2 linked regions of the Notamacropus eugenii genome follow. The protein of the gene in region 2 purifies or fractionates together with the protein of the main gene of each other region. This does not show direct contact. Links are inferred from orthologs where the notes say so. Each region holds a gene or a part of one and is shown on either strand. Other genes may lie near its edges.

Evidence for each region. The genes of interacting proteins can lie anywhere in the genome.
Region 1: the proteins of LMNA (region 2) and KPNA6 purify together in Homo sapiens (affinity purification with mass spectrometry; 4 studies listed by BioGRID and IntAct, with this or other methods). This does not show direct contact. The link is inferred for Notamacropus eugenii from reciprocal best matches to the Homo sapiens genes LMNA and KPNA6.

The regions. Positions count from the first base shown.
Region 1 is NC_092876.1:77,691,482-77,696,536, forward strand, and holds the start of KPNA6 (importin subunit alpha-7), read right to left. Parts: upstream 3,031-5,055; 5' UTR 2,931-3,030; coding exon 2,912-2,930; intron 1-2,911. UniProt on the Homo sapiens protein: Functions in nuclear protein import as an adapter protein for nuclear receptor KPNB1. Binds specifically and directly to substrates containing either a simple or bipartite NLS motif.
Region 2 is NC_092873.1:380,199,619-380,204,673, forward strand, and holds the start of LMNA (lamin), read left to right. Parts: upstream 1-1,552; 5' UTR 1,553-1,815; coding exon 1,816-2,171; intron 2,172-5,055.

The sequences.
Region 1 (5,055 bases), on a different chromosome or scaffold from region 2:
GAACTGAAATCACAAGACCTCATCCTCAGTTCCATGCTTGTCCTTGAACAAAGAGCATCATAGTTCAGTTTTCCCATCTGCCAAATGGGCACAGTCTCCTACATAGACATCCCAACATTATTCTTGCCTGTCTTCATTCATGTTTTTCCTCTTACTGAGAATGCCCTCCCTTTTTCCTTTTGCCTATTTATTTTTCAAAGTCCAAATCAAATTCTATCTTCCACGAATTGAGAATGATTGATGCCTCTACTAATAGAACCACAGCATCTGGAGCTCATTTTACACGTGAGGAAAGAGGCTTAGAGATTTTATTTACCACAGTGATACAATACCACAATGACAGTAAATAGCTGAGCTAGGATTCCATTTCAGGTCCCCAGACATCAAATTCACCACTACATTAACTCCCTTCCTACACAGATATACTCAAGAAATATCCGGAAAAGCTCAAGATAAAGGGCTTCACAGGAACAAGTCTTTGAATTTTATATATAATACAGTGTAATGTTTACAAAGTATTTTTCTTTCACCAATCTTATGAGAATGTAAGCATAGGAGTTGGTCTTCTGACTCAAAAGACCAGTATTTTCTAGGTATTCTCTAACCTGTGTAAAGGATACAAATCAGTGCTGTGAAAGGCAGCTAGGAAGCAGAAGACTGCCCACATGGGGTTCTATCCTATGCAAACTATGTGGATAAATCAGAAACTTTTGATGAAACTGTACTGACATGAAAGGAAAATTCCAATAAGAAAAAAAGGAAGTTATCTTAAAAAAAAAAAGGCAAATAAGGATAACACAGGGAATTCATCAGCCACAATAAAATTTCAAAAATACATATACACCAGTTAGATGCAAGGGCAGGCAACAGAGGATGAATGCAAAAGTTTGGCATAACCTTGTTCTAATAGTCATTAATAGGTCATTGTTAACTGGAAAGATCTCCACCAGAGAAACTCAGGAATTTGTACTTGGACCTTTTTATCAATGATTTATTGATATTGATTAAAAAGAAGGCTGTAAATAATAGAACTCGAGTTTTCATGTGCAACCTTCTCCTTCTATTTTATTATGTATGTAAAAATTCTTCATTTGATACTGAAAATGAAAAAAATCTATTATCAGTGAATTAAATAAAGGTCGTTGGTTGCTGAATCTAAAGATGACACAAAGCTAGCTGAGAAGGAAAGCTAACTCCTTGGAGGTCAGGATCAAAAGGGAATTCACAGGTTGGAACACTGGGCCACATCTAATTAAGACGAAATTTAAGAGAGATATATGTAGAGTCTAATATTTAGGTTCAAACAATGAACTTTGTACAGGTAAGGTGGAGGATAGCAGCAATCTGGGAGTTTCAGTGGAGTGAAAATTCAATGACTCTACAATAGTATGATAAGGTAGTCAGTAGCCCCTAAAGACTGCACAGTTGGATTAGTATGCTTATGGTGGCTGTTGTCTGTCCTTCATTCTCAAGAGGGTGATGCCATGACATACAAGTGAGTTGGATTTAAGTAAGGGAGGGCTTCATCAGCCTCACTTTCTCCTCTGAAGCTATCTGGGTTCAGTGGCCAGATATGAATCAGGACAACTGGATAGGGCCCAAGATGCAATGAGAGATCTTGCCTTAGATCTTGCCTTTTTAAGCTAAGGTCTTTAACAGGTCTCAGTTTGACTGAGGCAATACTCATTCAGTGATTGAGGCCTAATAAAAATGAGGCAGAGATTGGCTTCTTTACCTAGTTTTTAAAAAAAAAAAAAATCAATCTGGGAGGAAAAGACTCTCAGGGTTTCTGACCAAAACAGAAACAATCACTATTTACGTTCACTCAGAGCCAATCAGGGGTTTCTGTCAGTCACTTCTGTCAGTCTTAAGTTTCCTGAACTATAAAATGGGGATGATAACAATAATAGCACCAACCTCCCAGGGTTGTTGCAAGGATTAAAGGAGATATTTGTAAAAGGCTCAGGGCAATGCCTGCCACATTCAAAGTGCAATTAAGTGCTAGTAACTGCTGCTACCGCTGCTATTACTACTTCCATCACTACTACAGGTACAGCATTTAAGGAAGGGAACTGATAAAAGATAGAAACTATCCAGAAATATGGATCAGAATGGTGAAGGGCCATGAAACCTTATGAGAGGAGAATGAGTCCTGGGGATGTCTAGCCAGGAGAAGAAAAGGCCTGGTGGGGGGATATGATAGCTGTCTCCAAGAACCTGAGGGGCTGCCACACAGGAAAGGGATTAGTCTGGTTCCGCTTGGCTCCAAAGAACAAAAGAAGGAGCAAGGAAGGATGGAGGGCAAGGTAAAAGTGCATAAGCAAGTTTAGGCTTGGTTTGCATAGACAAGCTTCCTACAGTTAGAATTATCCAAATGCTGACTGGATTGTCTGGAGGGAGTAGGTTCCCTCCCATCCTGGACTATTACTTCTAAGTATGTTTTAGAGGAGTCTTTTCAACTTTTACAGGTTGGACTAGAATGCTAGCACCTTCTAGCTCTGGAGTCCTGCAATTCTATGGCTTTTATGGCAGTCTCAAGGCTTCAGGGATTTAAAAATGAATTTATGAGATTAAAAATAGAAAGTGAAAAGATTGGGCAGATAGGAATGAAGGATATTTTGTCAATGGAGTACAATGACATGAAAGACATTCCAATGAGTTGTTGAAACCCAATAAGGCTGTGTTGGGGGAGAGGTGAAGATCGGCTATCTGATAAGCTGGGCTGGGACCTCCTTCCAAGTTCTTAGAATGTGTCAAGCAGCTCACAGTCACACTGGGCAGAGTGCAAGTCAACTTAGCACAAAAGCAAGGAAGCTTGATGACACTCTCTGGACACTCCTAGGTAACTAATGATTATTCAGTACAGATAGGTAACAAAAGGCTGCCAGTGTTGCCTATTGAGTTTCATTACCTGACAGTTGCTTTTTCATGACTGAGATCCAGATCTACTCAGGGTGGTTGTTCCTCTGCTTGCCTTGGCACAGAGCTGACAAGGGGAGCTAAAAAAGGTGATTATATGACTGTATTTTTGTCACTATGGCAACAGGGAGAATATCTCACAAATACTGGCTTATGACTTCACTGGAGGACCGAGGAAGGGGAGTTATAATGATTATTAAGGACAAATTCACATCAAAACATTACCTTACCATAGAACAAGGTCCAAAGGAAGAAACATTATCAGAAAGGTCCTTTTAGATCTGTGTCTGTGCCTATGCCATGGGCCAAGGAGGCCTCCTTGATTCAAGCTGGTGGCAGAAATTCACTTTTTTTCACTCTTCAGGAACCTGCTATCTAGAAGACCTTAAATTAGTTACATCATTTCTCTATGTCTCAGTTTCTTTAGCTGTAAAATGGTGGGAGGAGGGGAAAATCACATTCTCCAGCTAGTCTTTGTTGACAGGGAAATATAGTCTGCACCACAGTATAGGCAAGGGATCTGGATTGGGCTGAGTGTTCCCCAAAGTAGTTATTAACAGATGGGTTACCAATTTGGAAGTAAGTTTCTATCAGAATGTTCCATTCTTGTACTGTTTACTATCAACCAACAAGCATTTACTATGTGCCAGGCACTAGATTTAGTGTGCTAGGGATTTAAAAGAGGCAAACAGTTCTTGCCCTCAAGAAGCCTATATTCTGATATAATTTGGATGAGACAAAGGTGGAACACTCAACAAATCTGCAGACACAAAGGTGGGAAAGAGAGTTAACATACTTGATGACAAAGTCAGGATCCAAAAAAAAACCTTGGATGGGTTAGAGCAATAGGCCAAATATACTAAAATTATTTATTTTTTTGGCTCAGAGAATTATCTTTTTTTTTAAAGAATCATGATTCAAAAAAAAAATTTCTCTTGAAAAAAAACCTGCCCATTGTCTTCAAAGACCTTACATTAAAAAAAAACAAAAAACCAGCCAGCTATTTTTAAATGGTCACGTATAGCTGGGTGTGGAGTCAGCAAGACTCATCTTCCTGAGTTCAAATCTAGTCTCTGACACTTACTAACCAGCTGTGTGACCCTGGGCATGTCACTTAACCCTGTTTGTCTCAGTTTCCTCATCTGTCAAATGAGCTGGAGAAGGAAATGGAAACCACTCCAGCATCTTTGCCAAGAAAACCCCAAATGGGGTCATATAGAGTCAGACATGACTGAAATGAATGAACAACAACAAACCAGGAGGGGAGGGTATATCAAAGAGGTCACCTGAAAAAGATCTGAGAATTTAGGTGGCAGAAAACTGAGTATGAATCATCAGTATTGAGTGGGATACTTAGTGAAGACTCCTCAGATTGTAATTTTTCTCCCAGGGGTGAGGTAAGGCCTAAAGGCTCAAGGTTACAATATTTTTAGAATAGAATAGTTCCATATAAGGATATAAAACTGTGTAGTGTATTAGGGTCTCAATGACTGGACAAAACTTACATAATTCCTCGATGTCTTCATTTCAAAAGGGATTGGTTAGATTTCGTGTCTAGAATGTAAGACCATATTCTCAGCTAATGAGGATAATGGTCAGTGGGGGGAGGAGGGACTTGCGTTAGGGTCTATATAAATCACTGTCCTGTTCTTTGTCTTTCCTACTCCTACAGGTGAACCCCACTTCTCGAGAATCGAATAAATCACTTTTCTGTCATCACTTTGAGAGGCCTCTGAGTAATTGATTTATGTAGGGACCTGAGCCATCCCACACAGTATAAAATAGTAACTTGATCAAAGCTGATGAGATCTTGGGCTAGAGCAGAGTGTCCACAATAAGGGAGCAAAGAATTTCGCTGTCTTTTCCCCTGTCATCTGGAATATTACATTCAATTCTGGGCACTCGTTTAAGAAAAAAAATAATTGAGAATCAAGAGGATGACACCCCAGACAGCAAAGGGCTTCAAAATCAGGCCACATGAGGAGCGTCTGTTGAAGGAAGTAGACGTGCTTCACTTGGAGAAGATGTGGATGGAAAAAGGATCATTTATCCTGCTTAGACCCATGGCATATTAGCATGAACAGCAGATTACAGCGAAATAGGTTTTTGCATTGACCTAACAAAAAGCTTCCTAAA
Region 2 (5,055 bases):
TATTGGGACCCATGTGACCCAAGCCCCAGTTTCTTCCCATTCTTCTTGATGTCAACTTGTTCAGTCCAAAGTCCTATTTGTTCCTCAGATGCTACCTGGGTCCAGAACCCAAGCTTGAGAACCTAGGCACCTTCTTTCAACAGTTAGAGAATGTGAAACTGGAAAAGAGCAATGTAGCTCAATTTTCATGGCTCTTCTGGAGGAAAGGGGATTTGGAGAGGACATTAGAATAGGTGTACAGTCTGGCCCTTGATACCTGGCCCTGGAGGCTGTGGAGGATAAGGGTGGATAAAGGTAGGGAAACTACTCAGGGTGTATGGGTAATGGAATGGAACTAGATACCTGGATTTTGAGTAAGAGCAGAAGTCTGCCATAGCTGAGCCAGACAAGATTAGAAACTTCCAAGCCTAGCTTTTGTGAGAGCCCGAGGGAGTCTGCTCCAGAGCCACCTATTTAGGACTTATCAAGTGGGGGAACCTGAGTTTCACTTTTAGTTTCTGGAAAATCAGGGTCAGGACTGGGATTCCACAGTCCAGGCTTCCATTCCCTCTGCATCCCCCAGCTCCAATCCACTGCCCCCTCTCTGATGAGAATGGGGATAGGGATTCAGGCATCTGGACTCTTAGCCCAATGCTTGACTCCCCTCCTCCTGGCCCCTCCAAGAACCACAGGAATCTGGGACCCTGGTGTCCTGGCAACATGACGCACAGGCTCTGGGCGTCTGTTTTGAATTACTAGTTAAAAATAAGTCCTACAGTTAAAAACGGAGAGGGGCTGAAGGGGGGGAAGGGACCTCGGAATGTTCTTCCTCCCATCTTCTGGGCCCGATATCTGACAGTCTTGGTTCTTGTTTATGAACCTTGGGGAGATAGAAAGGATGGGATGCAGGTCCCTTGAGTCTTGTTCTCCAACCTGGGTTTGGGTTGGAGAGGCATGGGGTGGGGGTGGGAGGGAAGGATAAAGGTCAGAAAAATTCAGAACCTTAAGGTGGGTAGATGATTTGGATGTCTCAGGTATCCAGAGCTTGAGCCCCTCAACTGAATGCAGGCATCCCTTCCCCCACACTTGGTTTGCTCAAATCTTAGTTGCAGAATGGGCTGCCCAGATGTGGGCAGGAGGGGGTAAGGGGAGGGTGACTCATTGGTTACTATGGAAGGGAACCCATGGGGAGAAGTGGAGTGAGTCACTTTTTGGGTACCAGCCTACCCCGCCCCCACCTGCATGGGACCCCTTAACTATGTTTTCCCCCAACTTTACTACTTGGCCCCTATTTCTCCTTCCAGATACTCCTGATCCACCCTTTGCCCACTCCCACATTTTCACTCTTCTGTTCTTAGTCTTTTGGAAAGGGGTAAAGCCCTGGGCAGGCAGACAAGTTCCAGACCATAGAGACATCCATCAAAGTTACAATGTACACAAGAGCGCATGGGGGACAACACCATGAAGGGCCTGGACACCCCCCCTCCATTTCAACCTAAGGTCCTACTGCCTAAGAATTCGGTGCGCATGCTGCTGTTCCTTTAAGAATGTGGCCCCTCCCCTCTTCCCAGGCTTATTTGAGCCTTAGCTCCACAGCCCGGTGACTCAGACTCAGAGTGTCCAAGAGCGCCGCGTCTACACTGGGCGGCCTACTTACCCAAGAAGGGCTAAGATCAGAACTCCGGGAGGTCGCCCATCCGAGCTCCGAACCCTAGCGGGCACCTGTCTCCGAGAGGAGGCTCAGCTGCCCGACTTCTGCAAACCTTCCCTTCCCCGTCTTCAGGTCCTTAATCTTCAGGGACCCCCTGCCCCCAGGGCGCTGCCACCCTGCCTGCCATGGATACCCCGTCGCAGCGGCGTGCCACCCGGAGCGGGGCACCAGCGGGCTCCACCCCGCTGTCCCCGACTCGGATCACGCGGCTGCAGGAAAAGGAGGACTTGCAGGAGCTGAACGACCGGCTGGCTATCTACATCGATCGGGTCCGTTCGCTAGAGACGGAGAACGCGGGCCTTCGCCTCCGGATCACCGAGTCTGAGGAGGTGGTGAGCCGGGAGGTGTCCGGCATCAAGGCCGCCTACGAGGCCGAGCTCGGAGACGCCCGCAAGACCTTGGACTCCGTAGCCAAGGAGCGCGCCCGTCTGCAGCTGGAGCTGAGCAAAGTGCGGGAGGAGTTTAAAGAGCTCAAAGCTCGGTGAGTGGGCCCCGGTGTCAAGGAGCTCCGTTCGGCCCAGGGAAAGGGGATTCATTGGGAGGGTGGGGTGGCAGTGGTGGTGTCTGTAGCTCCCCAGAGCGAGGAAGCGGCAGGTGGCATAGCCTGGGGGTGGGGAGAGAGAAAATATCCATCCTTCCTTCTGGGAGGTCTTCTCAGGTAAGAGGGGTGGAAGGAACCCTAGGAAGGAACAATTTTGCCTGTTCCAGAGTTCCTAACCTCCTAGGTGGTTAGGCTGAGTCAAATGGCAGTTACATGTCAGGTCAGAAGAGCCTCTGAGTAGAGGAACTAGGAGAATTGGGTGCATTTGGAGGTGAGGTGGAAAGCAAGTCGGAGAATGCTACCAATAGACTCATATGTCACAGTGCCTGGGTCCCTGCCTGAGGAGCACTGGCTGAGTCCAGTTGGGACTTTGCCAGGCTCCTGAAGCCCCAAGGAGAAGATTGGGCAATGACCAACTGGAGCTAGCATTGCCCAGGCAGGAAGTCCTAGAGGTGTTGGGGTGGTTGAAAGGGTCCTGTCAAGTATTACCCTTGCATGAATTGGCACCACGCCTACCTTGCCCAGGCTGTCTCCATGCACGTGGTATACTAGTCAAGCATAGGCTTCCAAGCCTGGCACCATACCTAGCAATGCTTTTGTCGGGGTGGTAGGGAAGTTTGGAAGACTGCTGATTCCCCTTTCCCTAGTACATGGGGGCATGGAAACCTCCAGCCAATGGTGAGCACGGGCATTCTTGCCCTTCTTGGAAGGACTCTGCAAGGTCCCGTACCCCTCCCGCTCCCCCATTGCCTGGGTCTTTATTTATTTTTTTACAGTGACTAAGCAACAAAAAAAGTTCTAGCTCCCAGAATTTCCATATTCCTTGGCCTCTCTAGGATGGGAATAAAGAGAAAGGGGCTTGTGGCTAGAGATTCCAGTCTGGATTATGGTGCTCTGTGTCCTATCTTGGAGGAAAATCGGGAGGGTATTTACCCTGCAAACCTAGCACCCCCTGATCTTAGTGAGCGTTCAATCTTGAGTTGGCTCGAGTCCATCTTTCTTGCCTTCCTGGAGACCCCAGTCATTCTTTATGCCTGGGCTGGTCACTTTCATTTTCTGTGGTCAGGTTTGTGCAACTATGTCATCTGGTTCATCCCTTTCCTCTGACGTTTGTTCTTTGCTCATTAAAATGCTTGGAGATTATGACTTTTTTGAAAATCAACCGTTGTTAATCGGCAGCCTCCCCTGGGGCCCCTCCTACTCTCCTCCACCCCACCCCACTTAAAAAAAATGACTTTGGGGAGGATTGGTCTTCTTACCACAAGTCCTAAGGCATTTTTTATTTTAATGCTTGTATCTGCCTTTTCCTTAGTGAGACCAGTAAATATGTTTAGAGATTCCTCAGTAACTCTGGATTTGGGATCTTGCACTTTCTTAGCCATTTTCTCTAAAGTCTGTTTTTTTTCAAAAATCTGTTCCTCTCGAAATAATTTCCAGAGTATTTCTTGTGCCTTCCCACCTCCCACCTCCCCCTTTTTCTGTTAGATTTCATCGTACCCTTTCCCCTCCTTCAATCTTATTCCGCAACTGGCCCAGGAAGAACCCAAGTTAGTAGAGTGTGGAAAAAAAACACTAATTCTCCTCATGGCCTTGCTTAAATAATTTAACCCATTTTTTCCCCATGTGATCTGTTCAAGGCGAATGAGTCAAGAAGAAATATGTAAGAACTAGTTAATAGTCTTAAATGAGTTCCTTCTGGAAGGGAAGATTTTGGCTGCTATTCTTTTTGGAAAGAACAATGGGGTTAATAGAACTGTGTCCAAGGGTTGCTCGTTATTTTCTTGATTTTGAAACGTTGTTTGACTCTCCCTACTTTGCAGCTGTCCCATTGTGGCTTCTGGGACCAGTGTGGGGGGGTGGGAGGTGGGGGTAGAGACAGGGGTGTATCCTATGTATGTGTTATATTTAGCCAGCTGCCTCTATTCTCCCCCACAGATCCTGACTTGGGGTGGGGCTGGGCTTCCGGAGAAGGCTGGGTGCCCTGGGGCAGTGGGGATGAGGGTAAATTTCAAAGGAAAGTTGAAGGCTCTGAGTTGGGGTGACTGGGATAAAGGGTGCTTTCAGACCTTTTTTGTCCCCTTCTGCACACCCCAGGATAATAGAGAATTAAGGACAGCCCTCTTCTCATCCTCTCTGTTTGAAGGTAGCCACAGGAGGAGCCAGTCTTTCCCAACGCTTGCCCTCAGCGATACCTTCCCTTTAGTAGATTCTGGACCCCGAAGTCTAAGAACTCTTCATATTGCTAAGTGTGCAAAGCCAAGGCCCCCACTTAAAATATCTGTGACCCTCAGACCCTTCCTTTTTTTCCACTGAGTCAAATAGGATTCACCCTCTGAGTCTATGGAAAGTAGAATCAAAGTTAGAGGAGCTCCGGGTCTTAGATAGTCAGGATCAGTAGCTTAGGAAAATGTTAGGGGAAGGAAGGGGGATGGTGGACAGCTGTATTGGTGACTCACAGTTGCTGCCTTATTATATCCCCACCCTGTGGTGCTGGTGATAGTGGTGGTGGTGGTGGTGGTGGAGAGGGTAGCTAACAGATAACCTCAAAGAAAGGGAAGGGGTATAGACTGATGGGTTGTTGGGTCTCAGTGTCTGGGGACTAATAACCAAGAGCCCGAATTGCCTTTTCTTTGGCAAGAGTGGTCCTTATAAAGATCGCTTACATTCCTAAGCACTTTGAAGATTTATAACATGCCTTCTTGATAATGCTACGAGATAAGAAGTACAAGTATTATTAATCCCATCTAACAGATGGAGAAACTATGGCTCAAAATGGTTCTATTTAATTAAGCTTCTACTATGTGCTAGGCACCATGCCAGGTGA